3 linked regions of the Macaca mulatta genome follow. The protein of the gene in region 2 interacts with the protein of the main gene of each other region in a pairwise test. Links are inferred from orthologs where the notes say so. Each region holds a gene or a part of one and is shown on either strand. Other genes may lie near its edges.

Region 1 (4,150 bases), on a different chromosome or scaffold from region 2:
TTACAAATATTTAAACATACTGGACTTTCACAAGGTAAGCATGCATGCCCAAAATTTTCAAGTAACCACTAAAACTTAGAAATAGAGTATGTAGGTGAAGAAAATAAGAATGAGAATAAAAATAAACCCCAAAGAAGAAAGGGGAAAAAAAAAAGAAAAACAAAACAGGCAGGACAAGTAGAAATAACAAAATACGATGGTAGAAATAATTCCAGATATATTAGTAAATATAATAAATGTAAATGGACTAAATGCTACAGTTAAAATACAAAGATTATTCTTCCAAGAAATCTGTTTATCATGAAAAATTTCAAGTATACAGAAAAGTGGGAGAAACAGTACAAGAAAACCATGTACCTGCGATGTCAAGTCAGCCATTGTTAGCAATTTGCCATGTTTGTTTCACCTATATTGGTATGTATAGGAGACTATTAAGAACACCTACTTTACTTTCACAGTGAACATAATATAATGAAATACAATTTAAACGGTAATCATGATGTAGAGTATCCATTTTTGAGGTCAAGCAGATCTGGATTCTCCAGCAATTTTTAATTATTTAACTTACTTGTGTGGTTATTTATTCAAAATGTCTCTTCACTAGGCTACAGTAAAAGGATTGGAATCAGGTTAGCTTTTCTGATCATTGTATTTCTAAATATTTATTGCATAAACAAATCGAATTTACTAGTAAAAATTCAGCACAGTGCCAGTTGCCTAATAAACATTTAACGTAGAGTAGCTTGTATTTATTGTAGCTGCTGTTGTCATTGGAAGCATTCAGCAGAGTGATACGAAATAAGCAATAATTGGTAGTTTATTATATTTATAATTATTATTTACAAGACGTCACAGTGCTTAGCCCATATCACTCACCCATAAACATCATGTTTATACTAAGTACTTTGACTATTATTCAAAGTCTCTAACAGTGCCTGGCACTACATAAGCAAGAGAAAAGTGGAAGTTTATTCTAATTGTTGTTACTGAATAAAGCATTTAACACGAGGCTGGCCCCCAGCGGACCCTTAATAGTTTTCGCGGCTGCAGTCGTAGCCGGACTACAAACCCCGCCTCCTGAGCAGCGCGAAGCCCCGCCCCTTGCTGCCCTGCAGTTCCGCCCCCGTGGCTTGTACCGCGCCTGCGCACTGTCCCGGGTGGGGCTCCACGCGCGCAGCTTTAGTCCCCGCCCCTGGAGCTGGCGGCGCAGGGCGCAGCTTCCCGCCGCCCGAGCGGGCCAGCCTGCTGCGTGCGTGCGTGTGTACGCCTGTGCGTGCGTGCGTGCGTGCGTGCGTGCCGTCAGCTCGCCGGGCACCGCGGCCTCGCCCTCGCCCTCCGCCCCTGAGCCTGCACCGCGTAGAACGACCCCCCCCAGCGCGCGCACCCCGTCGAAGACTCTCACCCGTGCCCCGACTGGTCCCCCCTTTTTTGTAAAACTTAAAGCGGGCGCGGCATTAACGCTTCCCGCCCCGGTGACCTCTCAGGGGTCTCCCCGCCAAAGGTGCTCCGCCGCTGAGGAACATGGCGAAGGTGGAGCAGGTCCTGAGCCTCGAGCCGCAGCACGAGCTCAAATTCCGAGGTAAGCCCCAGAGGCCGCCACCTTCATGCTTGCGGCCCCCGCCCCAGTGCTGGAGGGACGGAGTCCGGCGCGGCGGGTGACGTCGGCCCTCGTCCCCACCCCGACGGCGCTGTCGTGGGGGCCGGCGAGGCCGGGCCGGGCCTTGGCGCTCAGCGCGCGCCCCAGAAATGCGCGGAGCGGCCGGGACCCGAGAGGGCTGGTGCAGGAGCTAGGGCCTCTGCCTCCTCCCCGACCCCCAGCCTCCTGGGACTTGCCTTCGAGGCACTTGTCACTTTGCCTTGTAACTTAGTGACCAGTTTGTGATCACTTTAGTGTGAGCCTCCGCCGCTGCTGTTGCCTGGAAGGTTCTTCCCCTGCTCTGTGACAGTGTTGACCTCAGGGTTTAGTTGAGGTATCACCTGCCCAGAGAGGCCTGCTGTGGCCACCCAGCCCACCGTGCACACCTGCTCTCCTGCTGTCCCCATTCTGTCACTGTTTCGTGGTCAGCACCGCACTTTTCGTACTCAAAATCACTGTTTCAACACTAGAAAGGAAACTGCATGAGGACAGGCTCTTGTCAGTTCGCTGCTGTGTACCCAGCACACATTAGACGCCTAGGAAATACCTGTTGAACCAACAAATGAACCTCCTCAGGCCTTCTGATGGGATTGGTCCCATTTTCCGTTCACTGCCTCCCTCATGGTGCCTCCTGGATGCAGCTGAGGGAGGCTGCCAAGGTGCTGGGATCCTTTTGCTCCGCAGAGCTGCCTGGAGCAACACCTGCGGTGGTGGGAAACCATGACCCTGGTTTCTCCCAGACACTATTATCTCTGTAATTTGTGCCTTTATGTTTTCTATGTTGTTCTTTTTTTTTTTTTTTTTCCTACCTTCACCAGGGCCACGAGGTAAAAGGTCTGACATGCTCATTCCTTCTTTTTGCTTGTATCCAGTGATGTGGAAGGCACTAGGGAGGTGATGGATGAACAAGACAGACAAGGCCTCTGCTCTCAGAGAGCTTAGCTTCCGACGAGGACAGACAAACCAGCACACAACATCGTTACAGATCCGTGGAAGGCACTGGGGAGGTGATGGATGAACAAGACAGACAAGGCCTCTGTTCTCATAGAGCTTACCTTCCGACGAGGACAGGCAAACCAGCACACGTGATCTTTGCAGATAGTGCTAAGTGCTGTGTAGGAAATGGAACAGTTTGACTCCATGGAAGTGTACTGTAGATTGGAAGGTCAGGTCTCCACTATATCGCTAGCAGCGGGCTCACAGTAGATGTTCAGCTGGTATTAATGAATGGCCAGAGGTTCTTCAGTTTATATGTCCTATTGGGAAGTAGTGTAGGGTAACTTATGCAAAGTTACCCAGTTGGCAAGTGGTACATTTGAACCCAGACTTCAGAGTTCACGCTGTTAACCGTTACGCTGTCTGATCGCTGGGAAATACTCCAGAACGGTGGCTGTCACTTTGCCTTCCAAGTTAACAATGTGAAATAACTCTGAATTTACAGAGAACCAAAGGCTTTCCAATTAAAATGAAAAAAACAAAAAAACCCCACCAAACCTACCGGGGATCGAAATTCCAGGATAGTACTTGAGGTTTCATGATGCGCTCATGGCTTTCTGGGAACGCCAGATTGGAAAAGGAGGCCAGGTGGCTAAAGTGGTGAGCCATGGTTTCCACTTGAGTTGTCTGAAGTTCTTTTTCTGTCTGGGAGGCCTGGCTTGGCTTCTCCTGAGAATTGGTGGGTTCATTCGGTTAGTCCACAAACATTTACTGAGTACCTGATCTGTGTGTCAGACACCCGGAGAAGCCAAGTCATATCAGCTGTACTCTCCCATTTTCCCTCAACCTCCTCCCAGTACTTTAGGGAAGGGGACAGATGAGAACAACAGCCAGGACAGGACAATGATGTAGGGTAGTTCAGAGTGCCCCAGGAGCATTGAGGAGGTAAGCTCCTGAAGGAGGTGTCATTTGAGCTCAGTTATAAAGGTTGAGTAGAAGAAGGCTCAAAGAAGGAAAGGGTGAGAACATTTCAGACAGAGGAAATTGCATGCACAGAGGCACAAACACTGAGATGACTGGGCTCCTTTGGGATGCCCAGTAGTTCTTTTTTTTCTTTTTCTTTTCTTTTTTTTGAGATGCAGGTCTTACTCTGTCACCCAGGCTAGAGTGCAGAGACGTGCTGTCTCACTGCAACCCCCGCCTCCCAAGTTCAAGCGATTCTCCTGCCTCAGCCTCTTGAGTAGCTGGGATTATATACAGGCGTGTGCCTCTACGCCTGGCTAAAAATGTATTTTCAGTAGAGACGGGGTTTCACCATGTTGGCCAGTTTGGTGTCAAACTCCAGACCGCAAGTGATCTGCCCTCCTTGACCTCTCAAAGTGGTGGGATTACAGGCGTGAGCCACTGTGCCCAGCCACCACTAGTAGTTGTGAATGACAGCAACAAAGAAAATTTGTTGTGGTTGCCCGGCAAGATGGCAGACAAGGCTGGTGAGTAGACAGGAGTCAGACCTCAGTCCCTTTATGCATAGATGCAGCCAGTGTCCAAGTTAAAATTGTGTTGCTTCTCCTTGAGCAG
Region 2 (4,276 bases):
TCTCACCCAGTGTGCGACCCGCCTCCTGATACGCATTTCACTCCCACTGCGCAAGCAAAGACGACTGTGAAGACAGGGCTAGCAGGAGTGTCTGTTTATTGAGAAAGATGAATTCACAGAGAAGATTTTGAGGTTCCTGGCTGAGTGGTGGAGACCTTAAGAAACGCCTGGTGAGCGATTTCAGGACCTTCTGTTGAGAGGGAAAGACCAGAACAACTTCCAGGTGAGTCCTACCGCTTCGTAGGGGGAGAAGTGTCACCAGATTCAACACCAGGGTTTTGTGAGTGAGAAGGGCAGAGGGCCTGACTTGGAGAAGGTATTTCTCTGAAAGCAAAAGCTATTGTGGGAGACGGGAGAAAGCACAGCCAGAAACCAGAATGGCATTTAGGGGTCTGGGTTCGATTTCTGGTCAGTGCTCTTCCCAATGAGGCAGAGAAGGAAATCCCCTTCCCTTCTGTCTTCTTGGTGAATCTGCGGGTCTCCGAGTTGCTGTCTGCTCCATCTCATAGCACTTATCTTGTACCCTGCAGGCTGACAGGGAACAGCTAGTCTCAGGAGCCTGGTTTAGGGGAGTTCAATTGCTCTGAGGTTCCGGGGAAGCTGATGGAGGAGACCCTGGGAGTCCAGGCAGCGCGCGAGGCAATGCGATGCCGGCCGGAGCAGCTTGCTGCCGCCAGAACAGGCGCATCTGGGTCCCCTCCCGGGACTTCTCCCCTCCTCTCGGTGCTCCGCTGTCGCCCACCTCCAGCGGCCCGGGGCAGCTACCAGGGGGCCGAGGCAGTGTTCGCGGCCTGGGCCCGGCAACGGAACACGGAACTGTCGTCCCTGGAGAGCGAGGAGGCCGAGCTGATCCTTCGCGCCAGGCGGCCGGTGCGCCCGCAGGCCGCGTCCAGCGCCCGGGCTCGGAATGAGCGGTCCAGCAGGAGGTAGATGAGCGGGTTGGCGCAGCTGTTGACGAAGGCCAGGCAGGTGGCGATGGTGAGGCCCCAGCGCAGCGCCAGCAGCAGGGGGCACGGCAGCGGCAGGGCCCCCAGACGCGCCAGGTGGAAGACGGCCCGCAGGGCGCTGAAGGGCAGCCAGGAGCCCACGAACGTGCTCTCGATGGCGAAGATGATGCGCAGCGAGTTCCTCCGGACCCGACCCACGTGCGGCGGCCGGCGCAGGCGGCGCGAGATGCGGCAGTAGCAGAAGAGGGTGACGACCAGGGGCAACACGAAGGTCAGCAGCAGCAGCAGCAAGCTGAGGCCCTGGAAGGTGTGGGAGGGCTCCTCCCCGCACTGGCTGCCGTGGCCCCCAGGCAGGGGTTGCAGCCCCCGGTAGACCAGGGAGGGCAGGCCAGCCAGCAGCGCCACGGCCCAGACGCCGCAGCACGAGGCCAGCGCGCAGCGCGGGGTGCGCAAGGGCCGCGCCTCGAGCAGCTTCACCACGGCCAGGTAGCGGTCCATGCTCATGCCAGCCAGCAGCAGTGCGCCCGCGCAGCGCGTGCCCGCCAGCGCGAAGCTGCTGAGCTTGCAGAGGCCCTCGCCGAACGGCCAGCGGCCGTCTAGCGCCGCCGCCGCGGCCCACAGCGGCAGTGTGAGCACTAAGCCCAGGTCAGCGGCCGCCAAGTGCAGCACGAAGGTGTCCACTAGCCGCCGTGGGCCGCGCCGCCTGGCCAGCAGCCACACCACGAAGGCGTTGCCCAGCAGGCCCATGGCGAAGGCCGCCAGGTAGAGTGCAGGTATGTAGACATAGCCGTAGGGCAGGTCCCCGGCCGGACACAGCTCCAGCTCCTCCAGGTCGTCCAATCCCGAGTAGTCCCAGGCCCCTGACCCCGGGCTGGGACTCCAGGGCTCTGTGGGGTCCATGGCCTGGCCACGAGGCCTGCGCTGGGTGCAGCCCTGGGCTCAGGCGGCAGCAGCTCTGAGCAGGAGGGGGTTTGCTCTTCATGCCCGTGTCGTGCACCTCCCTTCCTGCCACCCCAGCTCGAGCAAATGGGTGGGCAGGAAAGACAGGAGGGAGGAGGGGATGGGGTGGGAGGGGCAGGCTCCTGTGGGAGAGATGGTGGCCTCCGATTTGGGGCTGACCCGAGGGGTAAGGGCTGGGATAGGCAAAAGGGGCTTCACAACTAAGTCTTGGGAGGAAAAGTCCTCAGGGCTGGGAGACCTGCCCCGCCTCCCAGTAGGAGCGTGGCCCATTCCTCTATTAGTTGCTCAGTTTCTTTGTTCGTGAAATCGGGATACTTGCCCCACTGCCTCAGGGTCGTGTTGCAAGAGGTGGTGGGTGCCAGAGAGCCCTAATCTCTTCTCAGCCTCCACCTCACCCCTTCCCACCTGCACCCACCGGCTGCTGTTTTCTCTGTTTTAGAGGGGAGAAGACAGGGGATTTTATGAGTATGGGGCCTAAGGCACGCCCCCCCCCCCCAAATCCACCTGTTCCCTAGGAAAGAGTCCACTGCCGGGACACAGCAGATCTGGGTGGGTCGGGGAGCCCGCCCTGGGCACTCAAACCGTTGTTAGCATCCTGAAATGTGGGGTTTGTGTCTTCACCCTGTGAGTGGCTTCTCTGACCCAAACAGGTCCTCATGAAGCGGAGTGGAAGGGTTTTAAGGCATCTAGGAAGGGGTGTAGTCAGATCATCCTGCTGGACAGGGGCCAAGCCTGGGATTCACATCTGCCTCTTCCCTGTCTTCTCCCAGCCTAAAAAAGCTATCTATTAAGCCAGACGCAGATGTAAGCTCAGTTCAAAAGATGACACCTAATGAAACACCAGATTAGTTGTCCTAAATTATGAGTCAGGAGCTTGGAGGCAGCAAGATCCTTTGTGAAATGAGAAACTGAGAGTAAGGGGAGGATACCTAAAGAAGAGGGGGAATGAAGTCTGACCCTGAGTGGGCGGTGGGCCCTTAGGAGGAGAGGATGGGGGAGGGAATGCTTGCTCTTCCTCCTGAAGGAGGCATGCAGCCAATTACATCTGAATTCTTCTTAGCAGATATCCCTTCCACAAGATATTGTGGTGGAACTGATGTCACAGTGCCCTCTGAGTCTGTCCCCAGTGTCCCCAGGAATGAGTGGCTGATGTGCCGGGCAACCTGGTGTGGAAAATTTGAGGTGGATTATCAATTTTGTTCGATTCAGACTTGTTAACAATGAACTCCTCCATGAAGCAGGCACTGTTTCAGGCACTGCGAGAGATGCCATTCTTGGCCTTAGCAGTTTATTGCATAGGCAGGAGAGATGGTTACATAAGCAGAATGTGCAATGGCCGACATGCCGGGAGTCCAAATTGTAGTAAATGTTAAAAGCCAAGCCCTCTTAGGGTTTAGTGGAGGGGGAGTGATTATTTTTGACGGGAAAGCTAAATCAGAAAAGGCCTTCTAGGAGATGACACTTGAGATCAGTCCCAGGAATGAGCTGAAAGTCAAATAAGAGCAGCAGAAAAGAGAAGAAAGGGTCAGACTCGGAGGAGGGAGTGAAGGGAACAAGTATACTGAAATGAGTAGGAATGTGGGCTTTTCAGGGGACAAGCAGTCTCCCAGAGCCTAGGGTAGGAAAGTGGGGACAGGAGATGAAGCAGGAGGAATCATGAAGGGATTTGGATTTCAATCTATAGGTCATGGGGAGTCAGGAGGCATTAATCTGTGTTTTGAAAAGATCACTGGCAGAACTGTGGAGAAGGGAGAGACTCAAGCCAGGGAGACCCCACCGTAGGTTGTAATTATTTGTGTCTGAAATAGATCATGAGCAGTGGGAACAGAAAGGAGAGGATGTATTCAGGAGGTAATTGTAGCATCATAGGTCTCACAAAGAAGAGTCAAAGATAAGCCTGGGGTTTCTCCGCTTAGGGACCATATGGACACTGTCCCCTTAACTGCCAAGAACAGTGAGGCGCATGTGCGTATGTGTTCAGTTTGATGTTGGTTTGAGGTAGTCATGAAATAATTTATCATCTAAATCAGGATGTTTCTGAGAGTGAAAGGGGCACTATGAGAATTAACCTGGGCCATAAACCAGGACTATTTTGGGCAAACTGGGACATAAGGTCACCCTCACTTGGGGTCCCTCTAGCACACGGAGATCCCCAGGAAGGATTTGGAAAATGGTCTTAGAGGCCGGGCGCAGTGGCTCACATCTGTAATCCCAGCAATTTGGGAGGCCGAGGCGGGGAGATCACTTGTGGTCAGGAGATCGAGACCAGCCTGGCCATCATGGTGAAACCCCGTCTCTACTAAAACTACAAAAATTAGCCAGGCATGGTGGCACACACCAGTCCCAGCTACTCAGGAGGCTGAGGTGGG
Region 3 (4,134 bases), on a different chromosome or scaffold from region 2:
TACTGTGGTAACAGTAAAACCACCATTTTCTAACGCTTTCCCTCATCCACCTGAATGTGGTGAACAACATTGGCTACGCAATTATGGGATTCATGATTCCCTAAAACGGTCAGGTCTACCTCCTCTGCAAAATGGCTCAGTATCCTTTGCAACAATGTGGCCAGCATTTTTCTAGAAGATTCAACACCCACAATGAATGTAGCTTAAAGAATTGGCTACAGAACTGTGGGACTCACATGATTTCCTGGAGCAGTCAGACCTCCCTCCCTCTCCAATCTTGTTGCCTTTTCCCAGCAGCCTTTGCAACAGCATAACAACAATTTTTGTAAAACTTTCCCTTACTCACAGTGAATTTAGCTAGCTAAAATGATTGGCTACAGAACTGTGGGACTCACTTAATTCTCTAGAATAGTCAGGCTTCCCTCCCCATCCAAAATGACTGTGTTTTCCCAATATCATTTGCAACAGTATAGCCACTATTTATTCTAAAACATTCCTTCACCCATATCGAATGTAGCTTAAAAGGACTGGCTACAAAATGGTCAGATTCACTTTCCTGGATTTCTTTTTTCTTTCTTTCTCTTTCTTTCTTTCTTTCTTTCTTTCTTTCTTTCTTTCTCTTTCTTTCTTTCTTTCTTTCTTTCTTTCTTTCTTTCTTTCTTTCTTTCTTTCTTTCCTTTCTTTTCCTTTTCCTTCCTTCTTCTCTCTCTCTCTCTCTCTCTCTCTCCCCCTCTCTCTCTCTGTCTCTCTCTCTCTCTCTCTCTCTCTCTCTCTCTCTCTCTTCCTTTCTTTCTCTTGCTCTGTTGCCCAGACTGGAGTACAGTTGCATGATCTCAGCTCACTGCAACCTCTGCTTGCTAGGTTCAAGCGATTCTCATGCCTCAGCCTCCTGAGTAGCTGTGATTACAGGCATGTGCCACCATGCCCAGCTAATTTTTGTATTTTTAGTAGAGACAAGGTTTCACCATGCTGGCCAGACTGTTCTCCAACTCCTGGCCTCAAGTGATCCGTCCACCTCTTCCTGCCAGAGTGCTCAGATTACAGGCATGAGCCACCATGCCAGACGACTTGACTGGATTTCTTAACAGCCAGAAAGCGTAGGAGCCTCACCTGAGTTATTGTGTGTATACACACACACGCACCACACACACAATTTTAAATACAGGAAGCGTTATTTCACACAATGGATTTACAGAGTGAAATATTTATGTACTCCCCATGCAATATTTGTTTCAGGCGTTCTGAACTCCCAAGGTTGCATCCCAAGCATAGGAAAGGATGACCCTGACCTTTCTGTCCTCATTTGCCAGCTTGGAATACAGGAGCTTCCTCCTCCTCACAAGTCAATGTCTAGCCCTGCCTGACCTGGTCAGGCTACAGCCCCTACAACCAGTACTCCCAACCCCAACCTGGCCAACATGTGCTGAGGACCCCATGCAGTACCATTTTCTTGGATCGGGTGGCAGTCATATTCCAAACTCGTTTCGCTGAAGCAGAGCCAGCAGCTTTTTGTTCCAACTTCTGCCTCTTCTGGGAGGCACCCAGGGACCGAGATCCATGCTCCATCATTTCTAGAGAGAAGAACAGAGACCCCAGGAGCACCCATAGAAGTTGTACCAGGGCTTCTTGGGCACAAAACACACCAAAAAGAAGACAGAGTCCCCAGCTTTCTTGGGAATCACTCAGCACCCATTAACCACTGTCCACCAGCTGATCCCAGGTCTCAGTTTGTTCATCTGTTCAAAAGTTAAACAAGAATCCTGAGGGCTCAGCTCGAGACTAGGTTACTCTCCAGTAATCTAGAGAGCAATGACCAAGAACAAGATTCCAGCTATCAAGGAACTGACCATCTGTTTTGTGTATAAGAGTGAATGACAGGTGTAAAACAGAAGGTCTATCCTTGCAAATGCAGACAGAGAGATGCAGGCTCCATAAATGATCAAAACAGGGTAACATAGTGGAAGGAAAGGGCTCCTTCTAGAAAAGTAGGAGACAACAATTGAGGCAGGGACCTGAAAAAAATAAAGGACCCAGCCCTGGGAAATTGAGGGAAAGAGCATTCCAGACAGAGGAAACAGCAAATGCAAGGTCTTTGGGGAAGAAGCAGGCTTGGAGCATTGTAAGAACAAACATAAATGCAATGTGATCTGGATCCCTTTGTGTGCTATAGAAATGGTATTTTCTGTCTATATCATAGTATGAAATGTTTTGAGGAGGCTGATACAATCTTATAGATCATGGAGTCTGGATTTTCCTCCAAATGGCAGGAAAATGAATTCGAGGGTTGGGAGAGAGAATTGATCTCTGGTCTCATAATTTGAGCCCTCTGAGTATTTTGCAACAGACACTGTGGTGGCTTGGACAAGGGGAAGACAGAGGGACCACACATGTTGTTCCCATCCTCCTCCCTCCCAGGGCAAAATGCTCACATCATCTATCCCTTTTCTCCTAGATCCCTTACCATCAACCCACAAATCCTCAAAGCCCGCCCAACACACAGATGTGCAAACACTTCCATGCACACATGCACCTTTCCCAACACACACATGCACAGGTACAGACATGTATCTACACAGTTGGCTGTAGCCTAGGGGTATTTTAGGGGATCCTCACCCGCTATCACCAGGTGCTCTTGGTTTTGCCCTTGGCGTCCATGATTCAGTTCTTCTGTCAGGGACATTTCCATCTCTGCCTTGGTGTTGGGAGGGCCTCCTGCCATCACAACCAGCTGTTCACTTGTAAGCTATGGCTAAGGATGTACAGGGTGCCAGGAACAGAGGAGTCACACTCAGAAAATCACCTCTTCCTGGAACAGGAGCTCAAGGAAGATATAGTCAGACCTGGGGGTGGAGCAAGACTCCCTCTCTAGGCTGAGGCCTTGGACTCAGCACTTTCTGTTTCTATTGTATCTTGTTGGCTAGGTCCGTGGCCTTCTCCTTGCTACTCTGTAAGCAACTTAGGAGAAGAGATACAATTCCATGCCTTTGACTGTGAGAACTGCTCTGGCTCATAAATCTCCATATTTAGCCCATGGGGGGAAGGGTGGGGTCTACCCTCCATCATTTCTATGAAGAAACAGGGATTGGCACAGGGTCCAAGAGCCAGGCAGTGGCTACAGCAGAGTTAGGTCCTAGCAATCCAGGCCATACCACACCTTCAGAAGGGATTCTCTGGAGAGCATATCCTACCTCCCCCATCCAGAGTCCCCAGACATGGGAGGTAGCCTTTTTCTGAAGTAGGTCAGACTAGGCAGGAGCCATGAGAACAAAGGGAGAGAAGGGTAAGAGAGGTGGGACCTGACTGCAGCCACTAGAACTCCCAGGGGCCTCAGGCCTTGCACCTTCTAAGTCCCAATTCTCCCTCAGTTTCCCTACTGATTAGACCACTGTGATGGTCAGGTTTATGTGTCACCTGGCCAGGTTCTAGTCCCCAGTGACTCCTTCAAACACTAGTCTAGGTGTTGCTGTGGAGGCATTTTGTAGCTGTGGTTGGCATCTACAACCAGTGGACTTGAAGTAAAGTAGAGACACATCCTCGATGATGTGGGTTGGTCTCACACAATCAACTGAGAGGCCTGAAGAGCAAAGACTGAGGTTTCCCAAAGTAGAGGTAATTCTACCCCAGGACTGCAGTGTCAACTCTTCTTTGAGTTGCCAGCCTGCCAGGCTGCCCTGCACATTTCAGACTTGTCAGCCCCACAATTGCATAAGTCAATTTATTAAAATAAATGTATATATACTTGTGCATATGCAGATACATACATACATACATACATACATATATACATCCTATCAGTTCTGTTTCTCTGGAAAACACTGATTGCTACACGACCTATGGTGAACCCTTCATTCTAGGAAACAACCCCAGAGCCCCTGGGGGAATAGGAGGCTATTTGTGAAAGGAATCAGGACAGGTTTATAAAACGTTCCTTTTAGAAATAGCCTCTTCTTCCCCCAGAGCCCTTGGGTCAGGTGGGATAAAGAGGAGGAAGGAAGGAGGAAAAGAGGAAGGGAGGAAGGAAGGAAGGAAGGAAGGAAGGAAGGAAGGAAGGAAGGAAGGAAGGAAGGAAGGAAAAGAGGAAGGGAGGAAGGAAGGAAGGAAAGAAGGAAGGAGGAAAAGAGGAAGGAAGGAAGG

The links.
Region 1: the proteins of GPR25 (region 2) and VAPB interact in binary tests that used the Homo sapiens proteins (3 or more experiments, as listed by UniProt). The two-hybrid records come from large-scale screens. The link is inferred for Macaca mulatta from reciprocal best matches to the Homo sapiens genes GPR25 and VAPB.
Region 3: the proteins of GPR25 (region 2) and FATE1 interact in binary tests that used the Homo sapiens proteins (3 or more experiments, as listed by UniProt). The two-hybrid records come from large-scale screens. The link is inferred for Macaca mulatta from reciprocal best matches to the Homo sapiens genes GPR25 and FATE1.

What each region holds. Positions count from the first base shown.
Region 1 is NC_133415.1:111,191,634-111,195,783, forward strand, and holds the start of VAPB (vesicle-associated membrane protein-associated protein B/C), read left to right. Parts: upstream 1-1,343; 5' UTR 1,344-1,521; coding exon 1,522-1,579; exon of another isoform or gene 1,580-1,628; intron 1,629-1,678; exon of another isoform or gene 1,679-3,807; intron 3,808-4,150. UniProt on the Homo sapiens protein: Endoplasmic reticulum (ER)-anchored protein that mediates the formation of contact sites between the ER and endosomes via interaction with FFAT motif-containing proteins such as STARD3 or WDR44.
Region 2 is NC_133406.1:58,519,794-58,524,069, reverse strand, and holds GPR25 (putative G-protein coupled receptor 25), read right to left. Parts: upstream 2,804-4,276; 5' UTR 1,848-2,803; coding exon 762-1,847; 3' UTR 80-761; downstream 1-79. UniProt on the Homo sapiens protein: Orphan receptor.
Region 3 is NC_133426.1:157,951,735-157,955,868, reverse strand, and holds the start of FATE1 (fetal and adult testis-expressed transcript protein), read right to left. Parts: upstream 2,808-4,134; 5' UTR 2,720-2,807; coding exon 2,614-2,719; intron 1,572-2,613; coding exon 1,444-1,571; intron 1-1,443. UniProt on the Homo sapiens protein: Involved in the regulation of endoplasmic reticulum (ER)-mitochondria coupling. Negatively regulates the ER-mitochondria distance and Ca(2+) transfer from ER to mitochondria possibly implicating it in the regulation of apoptosis.